Callithrix jacchus: one gene and its partners. Each later gene encodes a partner of the first gene's protein in a complex. Links are inferred from orthologs where the notes say so. Each region holds a gene or a part of one and is shown on either strand. Other genes may lie near its edges.

Region 1 (4,346 bases):
TCTGTTCAATGCAGACCAGGGCACCCAGACTGGGTCCTGAGAAGGGAAAAGATCAATACTGTCTGTGGCTGTCCTTGTCCAAGGTCCCTCTGAGCTCTGACTAGACTTTCCTTCCCACAGTTCCACACGTGTAAAAGGGACTAGGAGAGGCGACGAGCAAGCACCTTTGGAGCTCAGACCAAAAAGCGTTAGGGACTGTGGGGCTCATGGCCATGAGCTTAGTTGTCAGGCTCCTCGGAGGGAGGGAAGCTTGGCCAAAGGGAAGTGGGTGGAGTCCAGGGAGAAGGCTAAGGCCCTGTGTGGGAAGGGCAGGAGACAAAGGTACCCCTGTCTCTTTGGGAAAGAATGGGAGGAGAAAGAGGGGAAAGCATTCATATCATGGGGTAGAGCTCTGCCGTTGGCCCCAGGCACGTTCCTGAACCCTGAGTCATGGGCAGGGTGGAGAAGCAGGAATGGGGTTTTCAGGGACCTTGGGGAGGTGGGAGCCCAGCCCCAGAGGCAAGCAGATGGAAACCAACCTAATGCAAGGATGCCCTCTCCTGGTAGTTGCGGGAACAGCAGCACCAGCCCCCATGGCTGACCTCTAGGGAGCCTGGTACTGTCTAGGTATGCAGACTCCTTTTCTTAAACCCACTCTCCCCTCTCTTCTTTAGCAATACCAAGAAGGAGGGTGATCTGCTAGCTGCTCAGGCCCGGCTGAAGGACCTGGAGGCTCTGCTCAACTCCAAGGAGGCCGCACTGAGCACTGCTCTCAGTGAGAAGCGCACACTGGAGGGCGAGCTGCATGATCTGCGGGGCCAGGTGGCCAAGGTGAGGCCACCCTGCAGGGCCCGGCCATGGCCCCACCTAACACATGTACACTCACTCTTCTACCTAGGGCCTCCCTCAGGAGGTGCCTGTCTGACCTGTCACCTGATTTCAGAGCCATTCACTGGTCCTAGAGTCATTTCACCCACTGAGGCCACATTTTTTTCTTTTTGAGACGGAGTCTTGCCTGGTCACCAGGCTGGAGTGCAATGGTGCCATCTTGACTCACTGAAACCTCCGCCTCCCGGGTTCAAGCAATTCTCTTGCCTCAGCCTCCTGAGTAGCTGGGATTACAGGCACATGCCACCATGCCCAGCTAATATTATATTTTTAGTAGAAATGGGGTTTCACCCTGTTGGTCAGGGTAGTGTTAATCTCTTGACCTTGTGGTCTGACTGCCTCAGCCTCCTAAAGTGTTGGGATTAAAGCTGTGAGCCACCGCTCCCGGCCTGGCCACATCTTATCCTAATTTGGCCACCCATGGGATCTAGCAGAGTGAATTTAAAATAATTGAGGCCAGGTGTGGTGGCTCATGCCTGTAATCCCAGCACTTTGGGAGGCCAAGGAGGCAGGATTGCTTGAGCCCAGGAGTTTGAGACCAGTCTGGGCAACACAGTAAGACTCCATCTCTAGAAAAGAAAAATTTAAAGAAATTGGCTGGGCATGGTGGTGCACACCTACAGTCCCAGCTACTTGGGAAGCTGAGGCAGGAAAATCATTTGAACCCAGAATCAGAGGTTGCAGTGAGCTGAGATTGTGTCATTGCACTCCAGCCTGGGCAACAAGAATGAAACTCCATCTCAAAAAAAAAAAAAAAAAAAGAATAGCTGGGCACAGTGACTTATGCCTGTAATCCCAGCACTTTGGGAAGCAAAGGCAGGTGGATCACCTGGGGTTAGGAGTTCAAGACCAGCCTGGCGAAACCCCATCTCTACTAAAATTACAAAAATTAGCTGGGTGTGGCGGCAGGCACCTATAATCCCAGCTACTTGGGAGCCTGAGGCAGGAGAATCGCTTGAACCTGGGAGGTAGATGTTGCAGTGAGCCAAGATCGGGTCACTGTACTCCAGCCCAGGTGACAGAGTGAGACTCTGTCTCAAAAAAATAAAATAATAAATAAAAGCTAGGAATCAGAAGCGCCGGGCGCCATGGCTTGTGCCTGTAATCCTAGCACTTTAGGAGGCCCAGGTGGGTGGATCACCTGCAGTCAGGAGTTCAAGACCAGCCTGGCCATCATGTTGAAACCTCATCTTTAAAAAAAAAAAAAAAATTAAATTAAAAAAAAAAAAAAAGGAGGCCGGGCGTGGTGGCTCACGCCTGTAATCCCAGCACTTTGTGAGGCTGAGGCGGGTGGATCACGAGGTCAAGAGATCGAGACCATTCTGGTCAACATGGTGAAACCCCGTCTCTACTAAAAATACAAAAAATTAGCTGGGCATGGTGGCGTGTGCCTGTAATCCCAACTACTCAGGAGGCTGAGGCAGGAGAATTGCCTGAACCCACAAGGCGGAGGTTGCGGTGAGCCGAGATTGCACCATTGCACTCCAGCCTGGGTAACAAGAGTGAAACTCCATCTCAAAAAAAAAAAAAAAAAAAAAAAAAAAAGGAATCAGAAGCAGTTTGTTCCTAATTTCACAGTCTCATCTGTTCACAGCAGGGCCAGGATTAGAGTCAGTGGCCAAGCTTCCATCCCGGGTGCTCGCCCTTCCCAGGCCCTGCCACCACAGTATAACAGGGAAAGACCTGGAGAAGCCAGCAGGTTGACCACCAGACCACCTTTCTCCTGGGTCTGACCTCCTGCCTCCCAGCTCTGCCCTTCCCCCAGCCCTTCCTGGTCAGCCGGTGCTTCCTTGCCGTCTTTTTCTTAGAACATAGACACGTTCTCTCTATGTTGTCCAGGCTGGTCTTGAACTCCTGGCCTCAAGAGATCCTCCTGCCTCAGCCTCCCAAAGTGCTGGGATTATAGGCATGAGCCACCATGCCCGGCTACTTTTTTGTATTGGACATAGCTTTTCTTAGCACAGTACCTCCCGAGAGGGTGTGAGTGAATGCTCTGACCTCTGCAGCCATCCAAGACCCTCCTTCCCTGGACCTGTTTCCACATGTATAAAGGGGTGCATGGGCAGCAGCCCACCTCTCAGCTTCCTTCCAGTCCTTGTGTTCTGTGACCCCTTTACGTGACCTCTGCATGCCTCCTCACAGCTTGAGGCAGCCCTGGGTGAGGCCAAGAAGCAACTTCAGGATGAGATGCTGCGGCGGGTGGATGCTGAGAACAGGCTGCAGACCCTGAAGGAGGAACTGGACTTCCAGAAGAACATCTACAGCGAGGTGGGGACTGTGCTTTGCAGGCCAGAGATGGGGCTGGGTGATGACAGACTCGGGCTGGGGGGACCAGCTGCGTGCAGAGCTCACCTTCCTGAGTCCCTTGCCCTAGAATACAGGGAGTTGGGCATAGCCAAGACCCAGCTCCGAGGTTAAAGTGGGGCTGGCAGTGCCTCATGGGGTACAGCGGGGCAGGGAGCCCGGCCCCTGGGTCTTGGTCTCCCAGGAACTAATCTTGGTTTCTGGGTCCTTGCTCCCACCCTTCCAGGAGCTGCGTGAGACCAAGCGCCGCCATGAGACCCGGCTGGTGGAGATCGACAACGGGAAGCAGCGTGAGTTTGAGAGCCGGCTGGCGGATGCCCTGCAGGAACTGAGGGCCCAGCATGAGGACCAGGTGGAGCAGTACAAGAAGGAGCTGGAGAAGACTTATTCCGCCAAGGTGCTTGCTCTCCCCTGGTTCCCTCACTGCCTCTGCCCGCAGCAGCCTACCCTTGCCCACGCTGGGCTGTTCCGCCGGGGAGATCAGGCAGATGGTGGCAGGGAGCTCAGGGCGGCCCAGGACCCAAGGCTGTGGCAGTGATGCCCAGCTCAGGCCTATCCCTCCACCCTCCTGGTCATCACCGTCCTACCCTTGTGTCCTTCCCTCCAGCTGGACAATGCCCGGCAGTCTGCTGAGAGGAACAGCAATCTGGTGGGGGCCGCCCACGAGGAGCTGCAGCAGTCACGCATCCGCATCGACAGCCTGTCTGCCCAGCTCAGCCAGCTCCAGAAGCAGGTGATACCCCACCTCACCCCTCCCTCCAGGGGCCTGGAGTCTGGGCAGGATGCAGGCTGGAAGCTCAGGGCCGGGTTGTGGGGGGTGTTCCTGAGGAGGACAGGGACAAACATGTCCCCAGGACCACAGAGAAGGGTCGCAAGATGCGGCATCAGGCGGCCTGTGTGCTGCTTCTGCACTCTTACCTTGCCTTCACTTCTCAAGGCTTCGATTTTCCCACTCGGAAATGGAAGCTGTTCTTAATCTCCCTGACTCAGAGTTGCCATAAGACTCTGCAATGTGAGGTGTTAAAAGCATCAGTATGATTCTAGCTGGCTGTGCCATCTGTGATGGGAGAAAAAGGGTCTAGCCTCAGAGTGAGAGATTTCAGTTAGACAAGGGGACAAGGGGAAGGACTTCCCAGTTGCCAGCCAAGACTATGATTAGAGCTTGTGATGGGCTC
Region 2 (4,927 bases), on another chromosome or scaffold:
GTTTTATATATCCTTCTCTGAAATATTTTGAAGAAAACACTTTAGTGAAACGGTTGATTGTTTATTACAATAGTCATTTATGATCAAACACTGTATGGTTTATAGCTTGTCACTTATTCTTGTTGAATATGCTTTATACGTACACAAATATCACACTTTATCAAGTACATTGACCACTGAAATGACTGATACAGAAAAATAAAAGCAGAACAAGAGAACCTGAGGTTAGCTGACTAGTAAAACTAAAATCAGGGTTATCATCACACTTCAGTTTGTATATGTAAACCAAAGTTGTAACATCACAACTTTGTAACATGTACTACTCATTCTGGGTATTACATACCTCCTCTATTACATAATGGAGAAAACAAATTCATGGAAAGGAGAAGCACACATGCTAACCATGACTATGAACAAATATTGAGGCTGCTCATTAAATTTGGTCCTAAAAGCCAGAAACTTGAGGAGCACCACATAGAAACATATCAGGTATGTGAGAAAAGACCAACTTTTAGCCAGGTGCATTGGGTCACGCCTGTAATCCCAGCACTTTGTGAGCCCAGGAATTTGAGATCGGCCTGAGTAGTGTGGTAAAACACTGTCTCTACAAAAAATACAAAAATTAGCAGTGTGGTGGTGTGCACCTGTGGTCCCAGCTACTTGGGAGGCGGAGGTGAGAGGATCACCTGAACCTAGGAGGCAGAGGTTGCAGTGGGCCCAGATCGTGCCACAGCACTATACCCTGGATGACACTCTGTCTCTTAAAAAAAAAAAAGAAGAAAGACCAACTTTCACATTATACTAAATTCTAAAAGGTAAGGGTAATTGCAGCCCAGGAAATATAATACAGGGAATGAATACCAAACAAAATAACGGGCCACTACAATATGCTTTCCTTATATATTGTTTTGTGCCAATAAAAGCTGAGAACAGGTTGAGAACGGTGGCTCACGCCTGTAATCCCAGCACTTTGGGAGGTTGAGATAGGAGGATCGCTTGAGCCCAGGAACTCCAGACTAGTGCCGGCAACATCTCTACAAAAAAATCCAAAAATTAGCTGGGGACTGTGGCCCACGCCTGTGGTTCTAGCTACTCAGAAGGCTTAGGTGGGCTGGGTGCGGTGGCTCACACCTGTAATCTCAGCACTTTGGGAGGCCAAGGCAGGTGGATCACCTGAGGTCAGAAGTTCAAGACCAGCCTGGCCAACATGGTGAAACCCTGTCTCTACTAAAAACAGAAAAATTAGCCGGGTGTGGTGGCATACACCTGTAATCCCAGCTATTCAGGAGGCTGAGAATCACTTGAACCCAGGAGGTGGAAGTTGCAGTGAGCCGAGATCACACCCCCGCACAACAGCCTGGGCGACAGAGTAAGACTCCGTTTCAAAAAAAAAAAGGTTGAGGTGGAAAGGCTGCATGAGCCCGCAAGTTCAAGGCTGCTGTAAGCTATGATGGTGCTACTGTGCTCTAGCCTGGCTGGCAGAGTGAGCCCCTGTCTCTAAATAAAATAAAGATTCCATCTGGGCTAACATGGTGAAACCCCATCTCTACTAAAAATACAAAAATTAGCTGGGCGTAGTGGCACGTGCCTGTAATCCCAGCTACTAGGGATGCTGAACCAGGAAAATCACTTGAACCTGAGAGGCGGAGGTTACAGTGAGTCGATATTGCGCCACTGCACTTCAGCCTGGTGACAGACCGAGACTCTGTCTTAAATAAATAAAGATTAAAAATAAATAAATAAAAGTTCAGGTATCTAATCCATGGTTATCTCCAGTAAATTAAGTAACTTTCACTTTCTATTTTACCGTTTTAATATTTTAAACAAAAAAATGAAGATAATTTTATTAAAAATTATATATATATATATATATACTCATCTTTTCTTTTCCTTTTTTTTTTTTTGTGTGTGTAGATGGAGTTTCGCTCTTGTCACCCAGGCTGGAGTGCAGTGGTGCAATCTTGGCTCAAGAGATTCTCCTGCCTCAGCCTCCCAAATAGCTAGGACTACAGGCGTGCGCCACCACCCTGACTAATTTTTCTATTTTTAGTAGAGATAAAGTTTCACCATGTTGGCCAGGCTGGTCTCCAACTCCTGACCTCAGGTGATCCGCCCGCCTCGGCCTCTGAAAGTGCTGGGATTACAGGCATGGGCCACCCAAGCCTCCTGGCCTGGCCCGATAAATATATATATATATATATTTTTTTCAACAGAAACAATATATGCACTTTAAGGAGAAACAACAGTGCAGGTTGTTGGAAGGATTGCAAAATCCTGCGGTTAGGCATGATTACATAAATGTCATGAGGAAGTTGGGTTTCTAAATTCTTTTGAAGGCTTATTCCAAAGATAAAGGAGGCCAAGTCTGGGCCCAAGGATCTCAAGGAAGATGTAGGGCGGGCACAAGAGCCCAAGCATTCCTCCAGGGCCTAACGGGATCGACTCCCATGATAACGTTACTGAAAACTTCCTGGACGCACCAAGAGCCCCCTCAAAGCCATAGCCCGCCATCAGGCCAAGTTACGAGACTGAGCAAGGACCACAGGGTCGAGACTGGCGCGGAAACTGGAACAATCATCAAGAGACTCAGGGTCGAAGCCAAGGTTGGCCTAGGGGTGGCCGGGTGTGGGGGTCAGGTGGGACCTTGTCTAGGCTCACCTGCCGCTGTGCTAGGAAGGTCTCCCAAACATACACTGTCCAGGAGAAGAGCAGCACGGCTCCGAAGATACGCTTCTCGGCTGGCATCTCCCACAAAGCGTCCAGCGATGCCCACATCCCCATGGCCACCCCGTTCCGCCGGCTCCTTCAGCGTGCACCGGTGCCACACCGACACTCGTCCCCTCAGAGCGTCCTCGCGGTGTTACAGCGATATCCGTTCTTTCCGAAGGCCCCTACACCGACACCCGCCCCCATCCCTCCCTCTCCGCGCTGCTAGCAGTGTCACAGATACACTCTTCCCCTTGCAGACTCTCCCTACTCCCTCCTAGTTTCTACTGGAAAAGCCCCAGCCCCACCTTCCTCACTTCCGGCTCAAAGAGGGCGGGGAGCCAGAGACTGACTTCCGGGTCCTGCTGAGCTGTGTTGCATCAACATTCGTCCCCAACGACGTGACGCTGGGTTCCGGCCTGGGGTTCTCGCTTTCCTCCAGGGCCGGTGAATGCGGTGAAGTCCTCCGCTTTCTCTACAGAGCCGCAGTTCCATCCCCTGGGTCGGCTGTTTACCCTGACTGGGCTGCGGTATCTGCCCTACTTCCCCCAACAAGGCGACATTTAGTCCGGGCTGGGGCCGGAACTCAGTGGGCCGCCGCTTCTGCCTGAGGTGGCTGGGACGGACCGGACAGCAGCCGGCTTCCCAGTCTCAAAGAATCAAGCCTCTGAACTAGAGCTACCTCAAAAGGGAGACTAGCCATTAGAAATGGAGTCTTTTGGCCAGTATTGGGGTGTTCTGAATTCAAGCGTATGAGAGAGTGGACGGTAGAGTTGAAAATTCTCATTTGAAGATCTCGTCTCAACCACCCCAAGTGTAGTCAAAGGCGGCGTTTTGCCTGCTAGAATGCCTGGAAACAGAGCAAGGACACCGTAGGTTAGACATACCTGAAATGAAAGTTTCTTACTTTGTCTAGGGTACAAATTTGCATCAGTAAGGCGCAGTGCCATTTCTCGCTTGGAATCAGAAGTGAAATATGGTCACTCGGACGCGCGTACATTTATTTGACTTAAAAAGTGAGGTCAGTTATTCTGACCGAAAGTAAATCTGATAATTAATTGGTTAAACATACTATCCTTGCTAATTAGCATAACTATTACTTACAATAAAGTGAGCTAAATCTGTAGCTACGACTAAAATATATTTAAGTTACTGTGATATTGTGATGCTAAAGATGTGTTGAAATTAATATCTTGAATTTCTCAACCTTGCCTAAATGCCTCTGAGAGTAATTAATATAATTAAAAGTCACTAGAGAAAGTGAATGATTCTAATAACAGGTTAACAAATTCTTTTCAAGTCAAATGATCTCCAGTTATTTGTTTTCAACAAAATTAATGGTAGCTCTATTGAATTGTCAGCCAAGGAAGGAACACTATTTGGTTTTTGGCATGCAACTCAGAAACCAAAGAATTGGTTGACATTCTTACAGCAAAACTACTAGCATTCCCACCTATTTGTTTATGTAAATTCATTTCTCAGCACTTGTATCTATGAAAAAACAATTAAAACTAAACCCTGTTAATCTAGCAGTAGGAACTGTTCATCCAGATAAATGAATTAATTGGTGGGACAGTCCCATCTGTCTCACTGAGATGTGTTCCCAATAGAATTTCACCTTTTATAATTGTATATTATCAATATTTGTAATTGTGTCATTTTGATCCACTATTTGCTAAAGATTATTGTGATGATTACTGACTTCAGAAGAATTACAGCATAGAGCCATAAAGTTACAGGAAATTTTTTAAAAGTTTAATACACACATTATATTTTTATTGCAAAAAGTGATCAATAAAAGGTTTTTTAAACATCAAAGTATTACATTTGAATAACATTTTGTGGTAAAGTACAACCTAAATATGTTAGAGATAATAAAATAACAATGTTGAAGAGCTCCTTAGGGTATGCTTTAATGGATAATGGTGGTTATTTAGTTGTTTTGTAGATTCTCTTGGATACATTATAGAAAGTGATTTAAGTTTTAAAAATTGTTTATACTGAAAAGTTGCAATGATTTAAGTTTTATCTTAAAATGTCAGTATTTACAGTTTGCCAGAATTTACATCCATTGCAACGATCTGAATTTATGATGAAAACTTTCAGATACCAAGTTAAATATATGAGGGGTAAACACTTTTTCAGAATTTTCTGTCCCTCAGGCCATCGTTGCTATGCCCTCTTCACTCTTGTCCTCAGCTGTCTGTGAGCCCAAGGCCTC
Region 3 (4,845 bases), on another chromosome or scaffold:
AGCACATATCTATGCGCTCTCAACAGATACCCTGTGTAAAGGAGGAAAGAAGGCTCCATTTTTCCCTCAAGGCATCAAAGCATGAACCCCCTATTTTCCATGTACCCCACCCCAAGGCTTGTTCCTCACCTGTTCATGTTACTGTGTTTCTCCACCACTTCAGAGAAGGCCTCAGGCCTATGCCAAGAGATGAGCCAGAGTCAGAGAGGACAAAGACATTTCTCACAAAAGAGCTGTTTCCAGCTGTCTCTGCCTGGGATGCCATGACCTTCCCTCCCCAAATTCCCAAGCTAGAAAGGCAGTGCCTCCAGAAGTCAGAGAACCAATGATCAAGGGGTCCACCCTACCAAAGCCCCTGCTTCTGCAGTGAGCGCATGTGGTCCTTGCAGAGCACAAAGGAGATCTCAGCCTTCACCTTCTCTCCCTCTTCAATGGGGTCAACAATGAGAAAGTCCCCTGTAGGTAAGAAGAGAAAAGGGAAAGTCAGGCCTGCTTGCAATAAGGAAAGCCAAAGCTATAGGAAATGGTTCTATCGCCTAGAGAGGGCTGCCTCTCACCTCTCTTTTTTTTTTTTTCTTTTTTTTTTGAGACAGGGTTTTGCTCTTTTGCCCAGGCTGGAATGCAATAGCATGATCATAGCTGACTGCAGCCTCCACCTCCCAGGCTCAAATGATTCTCAGGCCTCAGCCTCCTGGGTAGCTGGGATCACAGACACGTGCCCAACTAATTTTTAATTTTTTGTAGAGACAAGGTCTCATTATGCTGCCCAGGCTGATCTCAAACTCCTGAGCTCAAGCGATCCTCCCACCTCAGCCTCTTAAAGTGCTTGGATTACAGGAGTGATCCTCTTACCTCTCTTGATCCAGATGTTCTTGCGGTATTTGGAGGGCATGCTCACAAGGAAACGCTGCCCTTGGGCTGTCTCCACCTCATGCAGATTGTTCCCTGGAGTCCTGAGTACCTGGTTCAGGAGAGACCAGGAATCAGCCTCATCAGTCAGATCAAACACCCTCTCAGACACACTGCACCCTACCCCTGCCCCAGGGGCCCTACAGCGGTTGGGGGGGAGCAGAGCAGCTTGTGCCCAAAGCCACTCACCCGAACAATCTGCTGCCGGTCAGAGGGCACCATGTGCTCCCCCAGCACCTCCTTCACCACATGCTTCCTCTTGGTGGCCTGAGACATGCTTAAGTTGTCCCAGGGTACTTAGAGATGCAGAGACTGTCAATTCCTCCTCCTGAGTTCCTTGGACGGCAGGCTCAGAACCCAGGACTATTCTGAAGATGGGGTGGAGCTTTTTACTGAGGAGTGACACAGTGTCTTGGTTAAGAATATGGGCTCTGAAGTCTTAACTGCCTGGATTCAAATTCTACCTTGGTTCATTTCCTAACTATTCAACTTCTCTAGGTCCCAGAAAAAATAACAGCTAACTCAGCATTGTTACAGAATGGGACAACACAGTGCATGTTATATAAAAGTAACTCCTGCAATCATAACTACTGGTATAACATAAAACTATACACATGCTCCAGAGAAATCACCCTGGCAACCTCTCTGGAAGGAGTCTGAGATAAACCATATCTTTCTCAACACGTTTGTACACCCCAAGTCTAGCACAATCACACAACAGAGAAGTTCAGTCTGGCAACACACTACAGCCGGAGACAAATTAGGTGGCCACCGCGACGGTCCAAGCCAGGAACTAGTTAACGAAAGGTGGAGGTGAGCAGGCTTGCCTGCGACATTTGCATGTTTGACTTTCTTACTTAGAAGACGAGGGCCAGACTGACGGTTTCCGAAGGAAACATCGATATGTCATATCTAGTTGCCGTCCTCCTTCCTCCTCCCCGTCTATCCCGGAGAAAAGACCCTCGGAAAAAGACCCACACTTAAGTCTGTGGCCCTCGGCTCCCAGGAACGCTGCCTGAGCAACCCCGCTGTCCAGGCCGGACGCTGAGAGAATTGTCCGCGACTCACTTGAAGGCTGAGCCAAGAAAACACAGTAAAGGAACTTGCTGACGGCCGCGACGGTAGCGTGAGCTTAAATCCAGGTCTCCAATGTTTTCAGTTCCCTCCAGTCCCACTGCTAGGAGGGTGACGTGAGTTTGAGTCGGATCTCTTCGAAAAACTGTACTTCCGGCGCTGTCTCGGAAGCCTCCCGGCCACCCGTCCCCTCCCTTGTCCGTTCTTCCAACTCTTCCCCACGCCAGTCGGTCAAGCCTAAGTCCTTGAGTTCCGGGTCCGGGCAGCAGAGAAAGAAAATCCTTTCTCTGGAGGCCTTTCTTCCTCGAGTAGCGGGACCTTACAAGGCAGCAGGACTTCCCGCGAAGGACCGGAAAGGAGGACCTACTACAGAGGCCGTCGAGGTCCGGGACGCCTCAACTCTATAGCCCTAACTGGCTAGAAGTGCCCAACGTGGAGGGTTTTTTTTTTTTTTTTTTTTTAAAGGACGCTCTTGAGGCGACCCGGAAGCGGAAGTGGAAGAAAGTTCTAGTGGCTTGAGGTATCGGCGGGAGCGGCCGGGTGGCGGGAGGAACCGTTACGGGAACTGAAGCTGCCGGTGAGCGTCAGCTGCAGAGCAGGGCCCTGGCTAGAGGCCAGATGGGTTGCGAGGAGAATGGGATGAGAGGGGCCGCAGGCGCTGGGGTGGGCCCTTGGGGAGAGCTTAGCCGCGCTGCGGGGAGGGGGCGGGGCGCGGCGCGTGGGAGCCGGCCCGCGGGAGGGGGCGGGCCGCGGCGCCGCGCGATGGGGGCGGAGCTGGGGCGCGGCTTGAACCCCGCGGGCTGGAGGCGAGTGTGCGGAGCGCTCGATTTGCGCTTCGCTCTGTGGGTAGAGAGACCCTTTGGTTAACTTTCCATGCCAAGTGACCGGTCCAGACAGGGTCAGTGCCTTCTTGGCTCAGCCAAGGTCACAGAAGGAGTGACAGCTTCTGGGCGGCCCTGGCTACTGACTCTGGGAATCTTTCCACTTACCCGTTTGCGCCACCTGTTAGGCAGGATCGTTTTTCCTCTGGGCAAGATCAAAATCCAGGTCCTGCAGGAAGAAACTTCTCTTCAGAATAGTAGGGAAGGCTCCCTGGACCTCAGTTTTCTCCTTTTTTGATGAGGGATATCGAGCAAGCCACCATAATGCCTGGCTTAGCTTCCTCTTACTATGAGATTGCTAGTGGGCCCTTAGGAGTTCCAGGTCTTCAACCCTAACGTGTCTTTTTTTGGGATTTCTAGATTAAGCCTGATCAAGATGACAACCTCCCAAAAGCACCGAGACTTCGTGGCAGAGCCCATGGGGGAAAAGCCAGTGGGGAGCCTGGCCGGGATTGGTGAAGTCCTGGGCAAGAAGCTGGAGGAAAGGGGCTTTGACAAGGTGTGGGGTGGCAGCGTGTACCTGGCACAGGCTGGGAGTGGGAGGGAAGTGAGTCCATCTGCTGTGGGGTGGGCGGTGGGGCATAATCTGAAGAGACTGCCAGAGCCTGGGCACCTGGTAGAGAGGAGATGGGGGCAAAACCCGCCCTGCTTCCTGGGCTTGTGTGCTCTGAATGGCACGGGAATGACCGATTTACTCTTATCCCTCACTGAACACTGAGCAGTATGCCCCTTCCTTTTCTCTGTCTCTCAGGCCTATGTTGTCCTTGGCCAGTTTTTGGTGCTAAAGAAAGATGAAGACCTCTTCCGGGAATGGCTGAAGGACACTTGTGGTGCCAATGCCAAGCAGTCCCGGGACTGCTTTGGATGCCTTCGAGAGTGGTGTGATGCCTTCTTGTGATACTCTCTGGGAAGCTCTCAATCCCCAGCCCTCATCCAGAGTTTGCAGCCGATTAGGGACTCCTCCCCTGTCCGCTACAGAGGAAAAGATTGCTATTGTCGTACTCACCTCCGATGTACTCCAGGGTCTTTGGGAGTTTCCTCCCCTAACCATTTCAACTTTTTTGGATTCTCGCTCTTGCATGCCTCCCTCTTCCTTTTTCCCTTGCCAGTTCCCTGATGACAGTTACTGGCTTTCCTGAATGGATTCCTGGCCCTATCCCTCACCCCCACCCTCACTTTCAGTCCGTTTGATACCATTTGGCTCCTTTTTTGGCAGAACAGTCACTGTCGTTGTAAAGTTTTTTAGATCAATAAAGTCAGTGGCTTTCATGACTGGGCTTTGTGCATTGAAAAGCAAGTGGGCTGGGAGTTGCCTCTCCTCCAGGGACTGACCACGTCTCCCCCTCTCCTTATCAGTACAGACCGAAACCGGCAGCTTCCCTTCCACTCCCAGAGGGCAGCCACCCTAGCCATGTAGATCTCAGGCAGGTGACTTGGAGTGTCTCAATCCCCAAGTGATGTGGGAGAGAGTGTGGGTGGATCTTTTCCTGGGAGCCAGATGGACTGTGCTCCACATGTCAGTTAAGTCAACAGCTGGGCTAGGCAGCACCTGGTGGAAAAGTCAGTGGGAGTCAGAGGTACTTGACAGAGGGTGGACCGGATGCGGGTGCGAGTTCACCTACCAGTCATCATATCTGCTTTCCCGGCCTCTGGCAAGGGTAGGTAGGGGGCTTGCCATCTTCCCTGATCTCTTAGGGAGGAGAAAGAGCACAGGCATTACAGCTGGAAGCATGAGAAGGAAGTACACCTCAGTGCATTTTAGCCCTTTCTATTTGTTTACTTTTTAGATTAATCGAGACAGGACCGTGTTGTATTGCCTAGGCTGGCCTTAAGCAATCCTTAAGCCTCCCAAAGCTCTGACTAGATGTGAGCCACTCTACCTGGCCAGCCCTATTATTTCTTGAGCACTTAATATGAACCAGACTTGAAGTTAAAATCTTTGCAAATATTTTTTTTTTTTTACAATAATAAATCATTATAT

Evidence for each region.
Region 2: the proteins of LMNA (region 1) and ZMPSTE24 are in contact, whole or in part, in a crystal structure (PDB 2YPT), measured with the Homo sapiens proteins. The link is inferred for Callithrix jacchus from reciprocal best matches to the Homo sapiens genes LMNA and ZMPSTE24. Residues at the interface, in NP_001393912.1 of Homo sapiens: Cys661, Ser662, Ile663, Met664; in NP_005848.2 of Homo sapiens: Ser264, Asn265, Ala266, Tyr267, Phe268, Val332, His335, His339, Glu415, Leu438, Asn439, Asn442, His459, Arg465.
Region 3: the proteins of LMNA (region 1) and BANF1 are in contact, whole or in part, in a crystal structure (PDB 6GHD), measured with the Homo sapiens proteins. The link is inferred for Callithrix jacchus from reciprocal best matches to the Homo sapiens genes LMNA and BANF1. Residues at the interface, in NP_001393912.1 of Homo sapiens: Ser431, Gln432, His433, Ala434, Arg435, Met540, Lys542; in NP_001137457.1 of Homo sapiens: Val11, Ala12, Glu13, Pro14, Glu83, Asp86, Ala87, Phe88.

Annotation. Positions count from the first base shown.
Region 1 is NC_133519.1:16,524,776-16,529,121, forward strand, and holds part of LMNA (lamin), read left to right. Parts: intron 1-653; coding exon 654-810; intron 811-3,009; coding exon 3,010-3,135; intron 3,136-3,397; coding exon 3,398-3,568; intron 3,569-3,778; coding exon 3,779-3,904; intron 3,905-4,346.
Region 2 is NC_133508.1:76,822,584-76,827,510, reverse strand, and holds the start of ZMPSTE24 (CAAX prenyl protease 1 homolog), read right to left. Parts: upstream 3,013-4,927; 5' UTR 2,782-3,012; coding exon 2,659-2,781; intron 18-2,658; coding exon 1-17. UniProt on the Homo sapiens protein: Transmembrane metalloprotease whose catalytic activity is critical for processing lamin A/LMNA on the inner nuclear membrane and clearing clogged translocons on the endoplasmic reticulum.
Region 3 is NC_133511.1:123,078,174-123,083,018, forward strand, and holds BANF1 (barrier-to-autointegration factor), read left to right. Parts: upstream 1-2,055; 5' UTR 2,056-2,560; intron 2,561-2,753; exon of another isoform or gene 2,754-2,881; intron 2,882-3,224; 5' UTR 3,225-3,240; coding exon 3,241-3,363; intron 3,364-3,615; coding exon 3,616-3,762; 3' UTR 3,763-4,133; downstream 4,134-4,845. Other genes in the region: putative RNA-binding protein EIF1AD, read right to left, coding at 130-177, 348-456, 853-961, 1,099-1,185. UniProt on the Homo sapiens protein: Non-specific DNA-binding protein that plays key roles in mitotic nuclear reassembly, chromatin organization, DNA damage response, gene expression and intrinsic immunity against foreign DNA.